Linked DNA regions of Callithrix jacchus. The protein of the gene in region 1 interacts with the protein of each later gene in a pairwise test. Links are inferred from orthologs where the notes say so. Each region holds a gene or a part of one and is shown in the gene's direction. Other genes may lie near its edges.

Evidence for each region. The genes of interacting proteins can lie anywhere in the genome.
Region 2: the proteins of SH3YL1 (region 1) and SH3D19 interact in binary tests that used the Homo sapiens proteins (3 or more experiments, as listed by UniProt). The link is inferred for Callithrix jacchus from reciprocal best matches to the Homo sapiens genes SH3YL1 and SH3D19.

What each region holds. Positions count from the first base shown.
Region 1 is NC_133515.1:114,735,917-114,743,398, forward strand, and holds part of SH3YL1 (SH3 domain-containing YSC84-like protein 1), read left to right. Parts: 5' UTR 1-190; coding exon 191-191; intron 192-341; exon of another isoform or gene 342-448; intron 449-721; coding exon 722-832; intron 833-4,710; exon of another isoform or gene 4,711-4,720; coding exon 4,721-4,834; intron 4,835-7,286; coding exon 7,287-7,351; intron 7,352-7,482.
Region 2 is NC_133504.1:45,431,222-45,439,176, forward strand, and holds the start of SH3D19 (SH3 domain-containing protein 19), read left to right. Parts: upstream 1-2,727; 5' UTR 2,728-3,039; coding exon 3,040-3,151; intron 3,152-7,955. UniProt on the Homo sapiens protein: May play a role in regulating A disintegrin and metalloproteases (ADAMs) in the signaling of EGFR-ligand shedding. May be involved in suppression of Ras-induced cellular transformation and Ras-mediated activation of ELK1.

The sequences.
Region 1 (7,482 bases):
GTGTTGATGCTTCACTGAGTTGCCGAAAGTGGGTCCCGATCCAGACCCCAGGAGGGAGTTCTTGGACCTCACTCACGCTGGAAAGAACTTGGGGCGAGTCCATAGCGTGAAGTGAACGCAAGTTTATCAGCAGGAAAGTAAAGGAAGGAAGAAGGGTGCTCCGTAGGCGGAGCGCGGCCTGGGCTGCTTGAGTAAGGACACTTAGAGCTGTTTGTCAATTACATGCTAAACAAGGGGTGGATTATTCGTGAGTTTTCTGGAAAAGGGATGGGCAATTCCCGGAACTTAGGGTTCCCCCCCTTTTCAGACTATACAGGGTAACTTCCTGACGTTGCCGTGGCATTCGTAAGCCGTCATGGCACTGGTGGGAGTGTCTGTTAGCAAGCTAACGCCTTAGAATTAATGTTAAATGAGCAGTGAGGACGACCCCCTTGCCACGCTGATTTCGGTGGGTTTGGCCGCCGGCTCCTTCGCCAGATGCTGTTTTATCAGCAACGTCTTCCTGACCTGTATCTTGTGTGGACCTCGCATCTCAGCCTGTGACTCCTGGGAGTGCAGTCCCGTGGGTCTCAGCCTTGTTTCGCCCAGCTCCCATTCAAGATGGAGTCCCTCTGGTTTGAACACCTCTGACAGCTGTATATGAGAAAAATGAAATGACAATAAATGTCTCACTTCTATTTAGTAGAGTTTTTCATTAAAATACCTTTTTCTCATCTTTCAGTGAATAACCCTATACCTTCCAATTTGAAATCAGAAGCGAAAAAGGCTGCCAAAATATTAAGAGAATTCACAGAAATAACTTCCAGAAATGGACCTGATAAGATCATTCCTGGTAGGTAAATAGGATGAGTGCTGTTTGTGTCTAAATGTTTTTTTCCTAAGTTGTTTTTTGCCTTCTTCGACACTCCATTTCAGGCAGAAGCCTCCATCAGTGCCAACAGGTGGTTTCACCAGCGTCTTTCTCATGGCTGATCCAGGGATGCTCTGGAAACAGGTGGTTCCACCAGTGTCTTTCTCATGGCTGATCCAGGGATGCTCTGGAAACAGGTGGTTCCACCAGCGTCTTTCTCATGGCTGATCCAGGGATGCTCTGGAAACAGGTGGTTTCACCAGCATCTTTCTCTTGGCTGACCCAGGGTTGCTCTGGAAACAGGTGGTTCCACCAGCATCTTTCTCTTGGCTGATCCAGGGATGCTCTGGAAACAGGTGGTTCCACCAATGTCTTTCTCATGGCTGATCCAGGGATGCTCTGGAAACAGGTGGTTCCACCAGTGTCTTTCTCATGGCTGATCCAGGGATGCTCTGGAAACAGGTGGTTCCACCAGCATCTTTCTCTTGGCTGATCCAGGGATGCTCTGGAAACAGGTGGTTCCACCAGTGTCTTTCTCATGGCTGACCCAGGGATGCTCTGGAAACAGGTGGTTCCACCAGCATCTTTCTCTTGGCTGACCCAGGGTTGCTCTGGAAACCACGACCTCTTCATCACCACTTCCGGTTCCTTCCAGGGGTGTTCACAGCACAACTCATTTCATGCAAAGGAGATCCAAATGCCAAGTCACTTTGGCAATGTTACAGACCAGCCTCCCTCATAATCACAGCACATGACTCAGCTCTGTTTGGAAACTTTGTTATTGATATCATAATCTTAATAGTGATATAATAATGATGTTAATTACTGTTGCATTCCTGCCACTTCTCCCATCATGAGGAAATAGTCCTCACAGAGCCTTGTTACTCCAGGTGCAAGGGGTCTGGACACGGCCAGCTGCAGATCAGGCAAACCAGCCAGACCTCTTTCCTCCCTGTGTCTCCCTTTTACATAGGCTTTTCCTCCTGCTTCCCACCCCGGGGTTCCAGCGCCCTGAGCACCACATGTTCCTGCTCCACTTCAGCTCTCTGCAGCCTCGCCTGTCCTTTGCATCGCGTGCTAAGAACTCTGCAAGCTAACCTCGCAAACTCACCAGCTAATCTCATACATAAATTTTAATTTTGTGTTTTCTCCTTGCACATGAGACATTTACATTCTCGAGTGGTTTAAGAAGACATTAATCAGTGATTCCCAACACAGATGTGCATCGGTACCCCTAGGCCATAGAAACAGAATTCTTAAACTGCACTGCAAACCTGCGGAATCAGACTTTTAGTGTAGTGTGTCGAGGAATGCGTGTTTGACATGTGGTTTTTTTGTGTAATTCTTATGACTAGTCATTCTCTGACTAGTGACCACATAAGCTCTGGTCCGGGTGGCGTCTTTGAAAACCATGGCCTGTTCATCACCACTTCTAGTTATTTCCAGAGGGTGTTCACGGCATACTTGTCTCATCCCAGTCGGTCTGGACAGTGTTACAGACCAGCCTCCCGCTTAGTTAATCACAGTGCATGACTCTGAGTCCTGAATTAAAGAGCTAAGTTTAATTTTTCTAAGCCAGATATCTGAAGTTATTTAATAGAGCTTTAAATAATGTTTTAAAAATTTGTTACTGTTTTAATAATGTGAATCATGACGTTAATCATTGTTGCACTGGCCCAGTGACTTCTCCGGTCTGGAGAAAACAGTGCTTGGTAGAGCCTTGCCACTCCAGGTGCAGTCTGAACCTGCACCTTGGCAGACCCTGGGAGCTCCTGAGCAATGTGCTCAGACGTCACAGATCTGTCTGCATTGCTCACACGGCCCCAGCGAGGCACACACACAGGAGTTTCAGAAGCGCTGCTTTACAGCTGAAAGAAAACTCAACAAGACAAAGTAAGATTTTCAGTATCCGTACTCTAAAGGAGTCACTCTCAGTGGGTGAAGCTCGGAAAATGACATTCTGTTTGCGTGGTAGCGTGAGTAAGAGATTGCCCGAGGTGTGGGTGTGGCAGTGAGGAGAGTGCCACAGCCAGCAGAGATACAGGCTCACTTCTCTCACCTGGGAGTCTACATTAAAACAGAGATGCTGCATCACAGGATAATCAGCTGCATCTACAAAGCACTTAAACAAGACACCTGGACACCTTAGACTTCCTAGACTCCCACACAGTAATAGTGGGACACTTCAACATCAATATTAGATAGATCGATGAGACAGAAAATTAATAAGGATATCCAAGACTTGAACTCAGATCCAGAACAAATAAACATTTATAGAACTCTCCACCAGAACAAATAAACATTTATAGAACTCTCCACCTTAAAAAAAAAAAAAAAAGCAAGACACCTAGGTCTTTAGACCTCCCAGTGGTGTGTCTGGCCTCCTCTAATGCTAGGGTTCTGAGTTAAGTGAAGCTTAGTTTAGCAATTAAATCTATAATCGTGACATTCTATGTTATAAATCAAAAGCGAACTGGCAGATTATTTAGGGATTATTAGTATTTCAGCTCCCTGAATCTGAGTGGAAATCTATACAAATATAATTGACATGTGGAATATATTCATTTTAAAACCTGCTTTTGCTAATATCTAATTCTCAATAGGAGCAATAGCAACTCTACAATGTTGAAAACAGAATGTGAGGAAGACATTCTGCCAACAGGTGGCTGTAAATATAAACCTGCACGATGTATAATACAGCTTTCAGTCTTGTTACAGTGTAGTTCTAACCTTTTAAAATAGAAAAGGAAAGTACACTTAGGAGCCAGCCATCCAGGATGCAACCTTGTTCTCCATAACTTTCTAAGAACAGCTCCGCACATGTTCTGCCTGCGGACTTCATGGTCTTGGATCCGTTACTTCCAAGGGTCTGTTCTTAATGTAAATCTTGAAATGGTGGCATAATTACCTGAGAATTTTAGTGTTCTCCCGGGGCATCTGCAAAGCCTTTGCTCTGTGTGCCAGAGCACCATGTCTGGCTTCACTTTCTTGGCAGAATATTTGATACAAATAATAATAAACTAAACTAGCTTAAAGTCATATGCTAGGCTCCCCTCGTTAGTTTGAAAGAGGTATTATTGTGTTGTAGGTTCACAGAGTAGTGTGGCACTACATTCAGTGGATACATATAGTAATAACCCTCATTTACGTAATGAACGTCTCTGAAATGTGACTAAGCCAATATTTTTAAATTGAACATATTATAAGTATACTAGGAGTTAAGTGGTACTTGAATGCTCTAACAGATCATTTTATAATGTTAAAAATGTTTCAACATTGAAAAAGTTTTTTTCTGTTTTTGAATCCAAATGTATATATTTATACAAGGTTAATTTAGTTAGATGGCTTTAAGATCAAAGTTCTAATTCATGTGGCTTTTTGGTAATTTTTAAAGTTTTTCCTTAATACTGTATGGATCTTAATTTCTTTGAAAATAGTAACTTTTATCTTTTACATTGTATACTATATTCTAAATTAATTGAAATTGCCAAAATATTTGCCCTGCTAATAGATAACAGTAAAATCTCTTTCAAATATCTAATTTATCTAATTTATTTATCAAATAATTTGTCTAATAAATTTGATATTTGAAAGATATTTTATTGATGTCTATTAGCAGGGCAAATACTTTGCAGGATTTGGGGCTATTTAAGATGTTGTGTTTAGCGCCGCAGAAATAGCAAACACAGAAACATGCGTGGGAATAGAGAGGCTTGTGCCCGGCTGTTCAGTGAGTGACCTTTGTTCATTGCCCCTGTGTGCCCTGAACTCCTAGGGAGAGCCCCTGCGCGCTGACTCGGGGTAACACGCCCGTCTATCCCGGCACCCAGATAAAAATGCTGACCTTCCCACTGTTTTCCACGTTAACAGCTCACGTAATTGCGAAGGCGAAAGGCCTTGCGATTCTGTCTGTGATCAAAGCCGGGTTCCTGGTGACCGCCCGAGGAGGCAGTGGGATCGTGCTGGCGCGCCTTCCGGACGGAGGTAAGTGGGCATCTATCTGTTCACGGGAGTGGAGAATCCTCGTTCTTTCTTCCGTCTGCTTCCAGGATGAACACGTTGCAGAGCGAGTGGGGCAGGTTCCCTGCACAGCAGCAGAAACTTACCTAATGGGGGCTTCTTGACCGAGCGCGGGTTCGGTGTCGGGAACAAGGGCGGGAACCGGCCCTTCTGTCCCTCTCTGTCCTCAGAATATTAGACAAGTCTGGGCAGTGGACCCGATTTTGTTTTGCATGCGTTTTGTAATTCTTCCACGGAGCAAATATTTAAACACGGCAGTATATGCATTTCTTTTGTTTAATATGAATTCTTATCCCTCAACTTCATGGTATGGCTGCTTTCTTTTTTTTTTTTTTTTATGGAAATTGATATGAAAATAAGGGGCCACGTGTGAACTTCTTTGTTTCTGTGGTGGTTTATAGAAACCGTGACATTTGAAGAATTTTCCCCAAGGCAGAATTGTATCAAGAGCCAGGATAATCTAGTTTTACTTTCTGGGGTGAAATCTACTACTTGATTCTTTAGAGATGAAATCAAAATATTTGTTATGAATCCCAAGTACCAACATTTATAGTAATATTTAAAGTGGACATAGGTGTGTCAAAACCAAAAAAATGCTTTTTATACCAGTTTAACACTTGCTGTTCAGTGGACACATTTTTCTACCAGTAGCAGTTTTTTAAGCATAGATAACTTTATTATATTTTGAGAGAGCATGGGACACTTAGAATAAATATAGAATATACATGTTTGTGAAACACAGCCTTTAAATATCAGTCACCAGGATTCGCCATTTCTTTTTTCTTTTTTTTTTTTTTTTTTTTGAGACAGAATTTCACTGTTGTTACCCAGGCTGGAGTGCAATGGCGCGATCTCGGCTCACCGCAACCTCCACCTCCTGGGTTCAGGCAATTCTCCTGCCTCAGCCTCCCGAGTAGTTGGGATTACAGGCACGCGCCACCATGCCCAGCTAATTTTTTGTATTTTTAGTAGAGAGGGGGTTTCACCTTGTTGACTAGGATGGTCTCGATCTCCTGACCTCGTGATCCACCCGCCTCGGCCTCCCAAAGTGCTGGGATTATAAGCGTGAGCCACTGTGCCCGGCCAGGATTCACCATTTCTTACCAAGGTTGCCCCACAGTCAACAAGAATCTCTTCCTTAATATGGGGGTCCATTTTCATAGCTGTGTGTAGCTTTGAAAATAGGAAGAACACAATTATCTTTTTTCAAGCATTATCCAAATTTCCATGAGCAGACTTCTCGGCAGTAAAACCGAACGAAATAGAGGCTCATTTCAAGGGGTCCCATTGTCAGATGGGACTCAAAGTCTACGAGAAAGTCCCCAGTGTCTCAGGTCCCCAGCTGTTCCATTGACCGGATAACTTCCTGACCAGAGGGAGGGACAGTCAACACCAAGCCCTGGGCTCCTCTCAGAGCCCAGCCGACCTTCCTACTGGTTTCAAAACCTGCAATTCTCTTCCTTCGTCCTGAGCTGCAGCTGCTGACTCTGCTGAGAGTAATTTTAAAACTGTCCAAATAAGGCACAACACGTTCCCCCAGGATCCTGGCCAAGACCAGGCATCTTAACACAGGGACAGTTCCTGACATAGGGAATGAAAAATAACTTAGGGTTTATCAGACACGAATTTCTGTAACCCAAACTTCTCTAAGCCTGGATAGGATAGTGCTGGAAGTTCCAGCGATGTTCCATTATCTAGCATGCATGGCAGCAAGTTTTCAGAAAGTGATTTGGCCAGACTGTCCCCCCACCAGAAGGAAAATACATTTTTCTAGACTTGTTTAACTGTTTCTATATCAAGAAAAATAAGCATATAGTAATCCTAAAATGTGCCATATCATGGCAAACGGAATTACTGTACTTAGTTTCTAAATGTGATTTATCTCGTTAGAATTTTAATAACCTTGAATTTGTTGTGCTTAAGCATTAGAGGTGTTAAAACCGTTTTGCCTTCAGAAATTTACAATGGAAACAACAATCATGTTACTGTTAGATCATAAACTATTGAATCCTTCTGATCACTTAAATCTATGACAAAATTCTGGCTGAAGACTAGAGCTACAGCTAAGTTGCTTTATCAAAATATTGACAGTTGAGGATACCAAGTGCTTATGTATGGTTAATGGTTAGAGAACCAGTGGTTGGTTTGGTATTAAGCATGTTGGTAGAGAGAGATTAGAGGAGGTGGGCTAGTGACGCGGTGAGACTCAGAATGAATATCTAATCCTTTTCAAATATTTTTAACTGTTTAAAAATTACATGTTCTTTTTGAAGAACACTGTAAAATAGTGGGAAATACCGAATCTCACTATTTTAAATAGAAACAGTCTTTAGAGTTTAGCATTTTTCCTTCCTGTATTTACATGTGGAGGTGTGTTAATGTTGGGGTAACTTTTCTGTCTGTCTGTTTTTATTAGCATGGTCTGCACCCTCAGCCATTGGGATAGCTGGCCTTGGTGGGGGATTTGAAATAGGAATTGAGGTAAGTAAGTGGATTGTGTATATCCACACAACTGCCATAGCCACTGAAGACTCCCAGGTGCCACCTGTGAAAACAGAGGTTTCCTAGTGTTCTGTTACCAGTGACACCTAGGAAAATTGCTTCCTTTATTT
Region 2 (7,955 bases), on another chromosome or scaffold:
CTGGAGAGGATGTGGAGAAATAGGAACACTTTTACACTGTTGGTGGGAGTGTAAATTCGTTCAACCATTGTGGAAGACAGTGTGGCGATTCCTCAAGGCCTTAGAAATAGAAATTCCATTTGACCCAGCAATCCCATTACTGGGTATCTATCCAAAGGACTATAAATCGTTCTACTGTAAGGACACATGCACACGAATGTTCATTGCAGCACTGTTTACAATAGCAAAGACCTGAAATCAACCAAAATGCTCATCGATGATAGACTGGATTGGGAAAATGTGGCATATATACACTATGAAATATTATGCAGCAATCAGAAATGACGAGTTTGTGTCGTTTGTAGGGACATGGATGAATCTGGAGAACATCATTCTCAGCAAACTGACACAACAGAAAATGAAACACGGCATATTCTCACTCATAGGCGGGTGATGAAAAATGAGAACACATGGACACAGGGAGGGGAGTATTAAACACTGGTGTGTCTATTGGGGGGAAAAGGGGAGGGCCAGCGGGAGGGGGAGGTGGGGAGGGATAGCCTGGGGAGAAATGCCAAATGTGGGTGAAGGGGAGAAAGGAAGCAAAACACACTGCCATGTGTGTACATATGCAACTGTCTTGCGTGTTCTGCACATATACCCCCAAACCTAAAATGCAATAAAAAATTTAAAAAAAAATACAAAAATTAGCTGGGCGTAGTGGTGCGTGCCTGTAATCCCAGCTACTCAAGAGGCTGAGGCAGGAGAATCCCTTGATCCTAGGAGTGCAGTGGCGCAATCTGGGCTCACTGCTGCCTCAGTCTCGCGAGTAGCTGAGATTACCAGCGCATGCCACATTCCCAGCTAATTTTTGTGTTTTTTTTTTAGTATAAATGGGTTTCCTGTTGGGAGGCAGAGGTTGCAGTGAGCTGAGATCATGGCACTGCACTACAGCCTGGGTAATAGACTGAGACTTCAACTAAAAAAAAAAATCCCAAATTAAGACTCAATGATAGTAGAGACGGACTCCAATGGCTCTATGAAGTTTTACTGTTTGTTGGTCAAGGTAGGGGTTTCTAAATGATTCATCCTTGAAGGGAAGTGACAAATAAGCTTTCACTTAAAGTGAATCCAAACACTTGAAACAACCCTAAAGGTCCAGAACCTTTTTTTGTTGTTGTGAGCTTAATTTCCAGTTCTCTAAGTGTCTACTTATTTAATCATTTATTCAGTAATAAAGTTTTAACTTGTGTATTAGACCTCAATTTCACAGAATCGATTGTGGTTCTTATCTGCTTAAAAGTGGAAAGATTTTCTCAGGCAGCCACAGCTACTATTGAAAAGGCAACGAAACAGCACTCAGGTGTGGCAGGCAATTCTATTTTCAGTGACCCTTTTCTCTCGTTCTTTTTCTCTCCTACCTGCTGAACATTAGGAACTCTCACAATCTCTCAGAAATAGAGCAAAACGCTAAAGATAAAGTCCTGCTTATCCCACTCAGGAATTTCCTAAGGTTTCATGTTCAGGTAATATTTCTGCCTGCTACTTAGTTATCTTTTGGTGAAATTTCAGAATCTGTTCCTCTCTGTGTGAAAGTATGTATGTGCACCTATTGAACCTAAGATGTATATTGTACAGGTACACACAACTTTTGTTATGCAGTTCTTTCCAGCTTTCAAAAACGTTCTTAGGGGCAGCTCACACAGCTAAGTGCTTCAAATTACAGTTTCTGACTCCAGACCCAGTGCTCTCTCCACTTCCCCTAATTGCCTCTCTACAAATAATCACGTATGGTTCTCCTTAACACATTTTCTTCCTGTTCTTCTAGGATGTAGCCATATCCTAGCCCCAAATGAACTAGAATACAGTGAGGCTTATTATTAAAAACTTTTAGTAAACTATTTCTTTTTCTTTTAATTGCATTTTGGGTTTGGGGGTACATGTGAAGAACATGCAAGATAGTTGCATAGGTACACACGTGGCAGTGTGATTTGCTGCCTTCCTACCCTTCACCTTTATCTGGTATTTCTCCCCATGCTATCCCTCCTTTAATAAACTATTTTTAAGAGCAGCTTTAGGTTCACAGCAAAATTGAGCTGAAAGTTCAGAGATTTCCGATGTACCCGTTGCTCCCACACATGCATAGCCTCCCCCATTATCAATCCCCCACCAGAGTGCCACAGTTGCTACAACTGATGAACCCACACTGACACCTCATAATTACCCAAAGTCTATAGTTTACACTTGCGTTCACTCTTGCGTTTGTACATTCTGAGGGCTTCGACAAATGCATCCACCATTACAGTATCATACACATAGTAGCTTCACTGCCCCAAAAATCCTCTGTGCTCCAGCAAGGCTAGATTTTTAAGGGCGAAAAGAGAGGGAAAGAAATAAGTGTGCATCGCAGAGGCTCGACCCATCTCCCGAGCCGAGTTTGTTCCGAAGTTCAGCAGCTCTGCTGTCCCATCTCTCCCAGTGCGGCCCCCGTCAGGTTCCTCCTCTTTTTGTTTAAGTGTCAAACAAATGGGTTTCCTGTTGACAGTAGAATATCGTGAAAGGGCAGGAAGAGGCCAGGCCACCTCCTCTTTGTCCTCTTCCTATCCCTTTTATTTATTTTGCACACGTTTGTTTGGGTCCAGCGGGTGTTTCCAGCGTGTGTGGTTGTGGGGCGGCCTTAGGGTCCGGTAACCCCTCCCCGAGGAGGCGAGGCAGGGCCTGAACCCGCCCGATCCGCGGTGGAGCTCTGCGGGGCGGGGAAGGGAAAGAGGAAAGGGGAAGAGAGCCGGAGTGGGAGTGGGAAAGGCCGGGGATTTAGAGGCCGCCGGGCCGCCACAAAGAGGCGGGGAATCGGCTCGGCCAGCGCCCGGCCGCTGCCCCGCCGGCTGCAGGTGGAGTTCGCGGAGGTGGCCATTTCCGCAGCTGCCACCGACGCCTCCTCTGCGGGAGCCGCCTTCCCCCCGGCCCGAAGGTGGTGACCCGGGGCGCCGGGACCTGAGTTCTGGGGCGCCGGGGCCGCAGCTCGCCGGCTATCCAGCGGCTGCGCCCCGCGCCTCGCCCATGGCTGAAGGCCGACGGCGGGAGGACGAGGAGGAAGAGCTGCGCGAGCGCCGCGAGCTTGGTGGCCAACGCCGCGCCCGGGGCCGTGCGCTCTCGGGCCACTCGGCCGCAGGTGAGAGGCGCGGGCGCGGGGGACCGGGCGGCGGGGACCTTGGGCTGCGCGCTCTGGGGTCGCGCGGGTCCTGCCCCGGACGGCTGCAGCTCATTCCCGCGCCGGGATGGGACCAGCACCTTTAACTCTCGGAGGCGAGGCCAGAGCCGGGGAGGGTGGCCTTTCCATCGCCATCCCCACTTTCCGGCCGAGCCTCAAGTAATATTCAGACCCGTCTCTTACTGCTAGTGGTCGTGCAGCTGAAACTCCAGATTTTCCGTGCACACTAAATCCAGGAGCTGCCGGCTTGGGACTTGTGGCCTGGGTGATGACTTATCTCTGGGTGAGTCAGAGGCCCGTGGCCATCTCAGTGGACCACGACCCCTCCCGAGGGGTTTGCCTGTGCCGCCGCAGCGGGGTCAGAGCACGTGCTCGTAACTGAGTCAAATCTCGTTTCGGCGTCCCTTGAACTTCGGACCTGTGACACCCGCCCCCCCCCCCCCCCCCACTTCTCCTCCAGCCGCTGAGCTCACCAGTTTTCGATAGGACTTGTTTTCGTTATTTGTGAGACCCTCCCCTACACAAACAGAAGTCCAGAACGTAGCATCCCCAAAGGCCATTCATTTGGGCTGAGAATCATTTCCGGGCCTATAATTACTTTTATGATACTGTGTTTTGGGTACATAAGAGCCGCACAGATCAAATAGTTTGGCGCAGCAGTAGAAGACTGAATAAGTATAGATCCACACCCCTTCCCTCTTCCCGGGCGGCTTTTCAATCAAACATAATAGAGAGGAAATTCTTTGGCCTTTGATTCTAACCGGGTAATCCGAGTTATCTGAAAGCCAGAGAGAAGAACAAACCTAGGGGGACGGGCAACAGTAGGGAGATAGGGAAGTGAGAGAGAGAACGATTCACTTAGAGCCTCGTTAGGAAGTGGAATAGAGCGAATATTCCATGAAGTGGAGAAGGTTTTCTGTGTGACTACTTTAACCACTAAGAGAAAGCTGGAAAAATAGGGAAGATAGTGTATCTGTGCGGAACAAATAGAAAGTAGGATGAAAGGAAAACTTGCGAAGAACATTTTGAAGAAATGGTCCATTTGATGTCCTTGGTAGAATCTTGGAACCATAAAAATAATTCTCCATTCTCATTATTGCAGCTTCTCATCAAAGTAAGGCATTTGGCTGTCTGTATGAACACCAGTTTTGAGCATAATTGGTAGTTTTGTTCAGTGTGAACCCAGACCTAGTGAAATAATGAATAGTTGCTGGGTATAAGTGAAGATTTCTTGCAAGAATACAATGAAAAAAACTTTGCAAAGATATACCACCATTGACCAATGGTTTTAAATAGGGTAGGCCACCTTGGATTCCTGTTACCTTCAGCAGAAAGCGTCACTTGCACAAGAGACTGTACAGTGAAGAACTATTTTGGAGTCCAGATGTGTGTTTATCATTTAGTTGCAATATTTGCATTTATTCCAAGGCTGGTGGAAATGGCATTTTGTAATTAGTTTTCACCAGTTCCATAGTTTCCCAAGGCTGGCAAAGGCTTCTCTAGGTTCTTTGATAATATTTTGCTGAGACATGGCATTGTGTACTTTTTGCATTCGGTAATTGGTGTTTGTAGTTTTCTAACTATTTATATGCCCTTTTTTCATTAAAGGGTGTGAGGACGATGATGTTATGGAGTGGGTAAGTGGGTTAAATTTGTAATTTTTGGATTTATTTCTTTTGGAATAAATTATTTAATAGTTATATTTCGTTAGAAGCTGAGCTCCACTTCCCCCTTGTTAAACCTTGTTTAACATGCTTTTCAGACACCAACACATTCCTTACCAAGCTTGGGCATTTGTTAGTTATGTCAGTGTTAGATGTTGCTTTCTTCCAAGTGAGAGGGTATGAACTGACACAGAAGCTTCATGTTTTTTTCGCATCACCTTTTTAGTTTTTCGCTTTTTCTGATCTCAATGCTCTATACTTCCCTTACCATTTTACAGTCTAAAGATTTTCCTTTTCTTTGGTCTCACATAGCCTGATAACCAGAAACCTGGGGTTTATGGACTTAAGGTAGTCTGTGAACTCTTCCTTTTCTCCCCGCTAAATTTTGGAGTGATTGTGTAATTCCATTTATTTATTTTTACAACATACATACAAAATTTGTAAATTACAAATTTAAAAACTCTTGTAACTCATGCTCAAGTCAAGAAATAGTATATAGTCAGTTCCTTAGAAATGGAGTCCCATCCCTGCCAGATTTAGCCTCCTCTCTTCCCTAGAGGTTACTATTTTTGTTTAACCTTTGTGATTATTTCCTTTTTTTTCTGTACAGTTTTACCCTACACATATGTATCCCTATAAAATATTGTTTAGTTTTACCTTTTTAAAATCATATGAGTGGAATCATCCTGTATTTTATCAACCCAACAGTAAGCAAGTAGTGACTTGAGATTATGAAATATCTGGAATGAGTTCTTTTCATTAAAAGGCCAAGAGCCCCAGGCAGGTTCTGAGCACAGGACAGTCTTTGTAGGGCATCCTTAGGAAATAAGTGTGTGTGTATATTTAAAATTATATTAAGAAAATTGGGTTTGATTAATCACAATTTCATCTTACAACAAAAGATGATAATTGATCTGGTGCTCACCTTCTTTATAAAATGTATTTGTTATATTTCCCAGCTTTTAAAGTAATAAGATACCTTCAACATGATGCTAAAATAATTTTTTTGGCAGAATTATAGGCAATCAAGTACTGAGGTCAATTCAGTGAAGGTTAATTCTTTTTTTTTAGGCAGTCTTGTTTTGTTGCCCAGGCTGAAGTATAGTGGCATGGTCATGGCTCACTGCAACCTCCACCTCCCAGGTTCAAGCGATTCTTATGCCTCAGTCTCCTGAGTAGCTGCGATTACAAGTACATACCACCATGCCTGGCTAATTTTTTGTATTTGTAGTGGAGATGGGTTTCACCATGTTGGCCAGGGTGGTCTTGAACTCCTCCCACCTCGGCCTCCCAAAGTGCTGGGATTACAGGCATGAGCCACTGTGCCTGGCCAGCGACAGTTAATTCTGTAGCAGTTCATGACTCATGAGATTAATAAGCAGACATAGGAAAGTAAATGAGGAGCAGAAAGTATTCCATTGTTTGGGTTTCATGCACCGATGCTAAGGTGTCGTAAATTTGGTACGATGTGAAATATTTACTCTTGATGGTGGTATCCAAATGATTGCCTGACCTGACAGAGAGTGGTGATAATATGAAAGAACATATTACCACCAATATGAGAGTGGTGGTAATATGAAACACAACACCTGAATTCTTGGAGTGTCTTACTAATCCACCAAATGCCCATCACAAATAAGGAAGAGAGGATGTGGGTACACTAATCCAGTGGTTCTCAAACTTTTGCCACATATATCAGGCCTTGTACACGCTCAGTATCTGGTCACTTGGACTGGGATGGGGCCTGAGAATTTTCATTTTTAAAACATTCCCAGGTGATACTGATGCTGCTGGTTCAAAAAGATGATGCAATTTGCAAACTCCCATGTAATTAAGAGAGGAATCACACCCTCGACACATTCTAAGAAATAGTTCCTTTTGCTAATTTGTCCTTTTTAGTAGATCAGATGAAAACCCATGAGATAAACATGGAGATTTCCACAGACTAACATGTAAGACTTAGTTTCCATTGTGGGTTTCCTCAGTAGCTTCAAGGATTTCATGGTTGATTTATACAGCCTAGCATTTATGATCAACTTCATTTTTGTTTCTTGTTTTTTTCTTTGTGTTATTGATTTCGTATTCTTCATTTTATCTGCACAATTAAGATTGGCGTGTTAGTGCCACTGTGTTAGTGCTAGTTAGTGCTAGCCAAGGGCAAGAAGTGGAGGCTGGGGGGAATAGGCAGACGAGATTGGGTGACCACCTCTTCCCAGTTTCTCAGGACTGTTTCTGCTTTTAAAACTGAAAATTCTAGCCTGGCCAACATGGCAAAATCCTGTCTCTACTAAAAATACAAAAATTTAGCTGGGCATGGTGACTGGTGTGTATAATCCCGGCTACTCGGGAGGCTGAGACAGGAGGATTGCTTGATCCTGGGAGGTAGAGGGTGCAGTAAGCCCAGATCACTCCACTGCACTCCAGCCTGGGAGACAGAGCGAGACTCTGCCTCAGGAAACAGAAACAAACAAGAACTGAAAGTTTCCATTCATGGAAACTCCTCAGTCCCAGGCAAATCAAGGATAGTCACCCTGGTGGAAGGATAGCTTGGGTAGGGGGAAGAAGGGAGAATAAAGCCTACTGACAATGTTGTTTATACTAATATCCCGCTTCAGTTCAGATGCTTTTTTTCACTCAACAGTAAGTTTATAAGATTTATTTGTATTGTTACATGTAGCTGTAGGGTTTTTTTTTGTTTTTAAGACAGAGTCTTGCTCTGTCACCCAGGCTAGAGTGCTCTGGTGTGATCTCCGTTCACTACAACCTCCGCCTCCCAGATTCAAGTGATTCTCCTGCCTTGGCCTCCCAAGTAGATGGGACTACAGGTGTGTACTACCATGCCTGGCTAAGTTTTGTATGTTTAGCAGAGATGGGATTTTGACATGTTGCCCAGGCTGGTCTCGAACTCCTGACCCCAGGTGATCCGACTGCCTTGGCCTCTCAAAGTACTGGGATTACAGGCATGAGCCACTGTGCCCAGCTGATGTTTTTGTTTTCATTGTATAACTATATATCACACTTTTTGCCTATTATTTTTTATTGATTTATTGGAGTTCTTTCTTTACCCAAGAATCTCAACTTTTGTTGGTTATGTGTGTTAC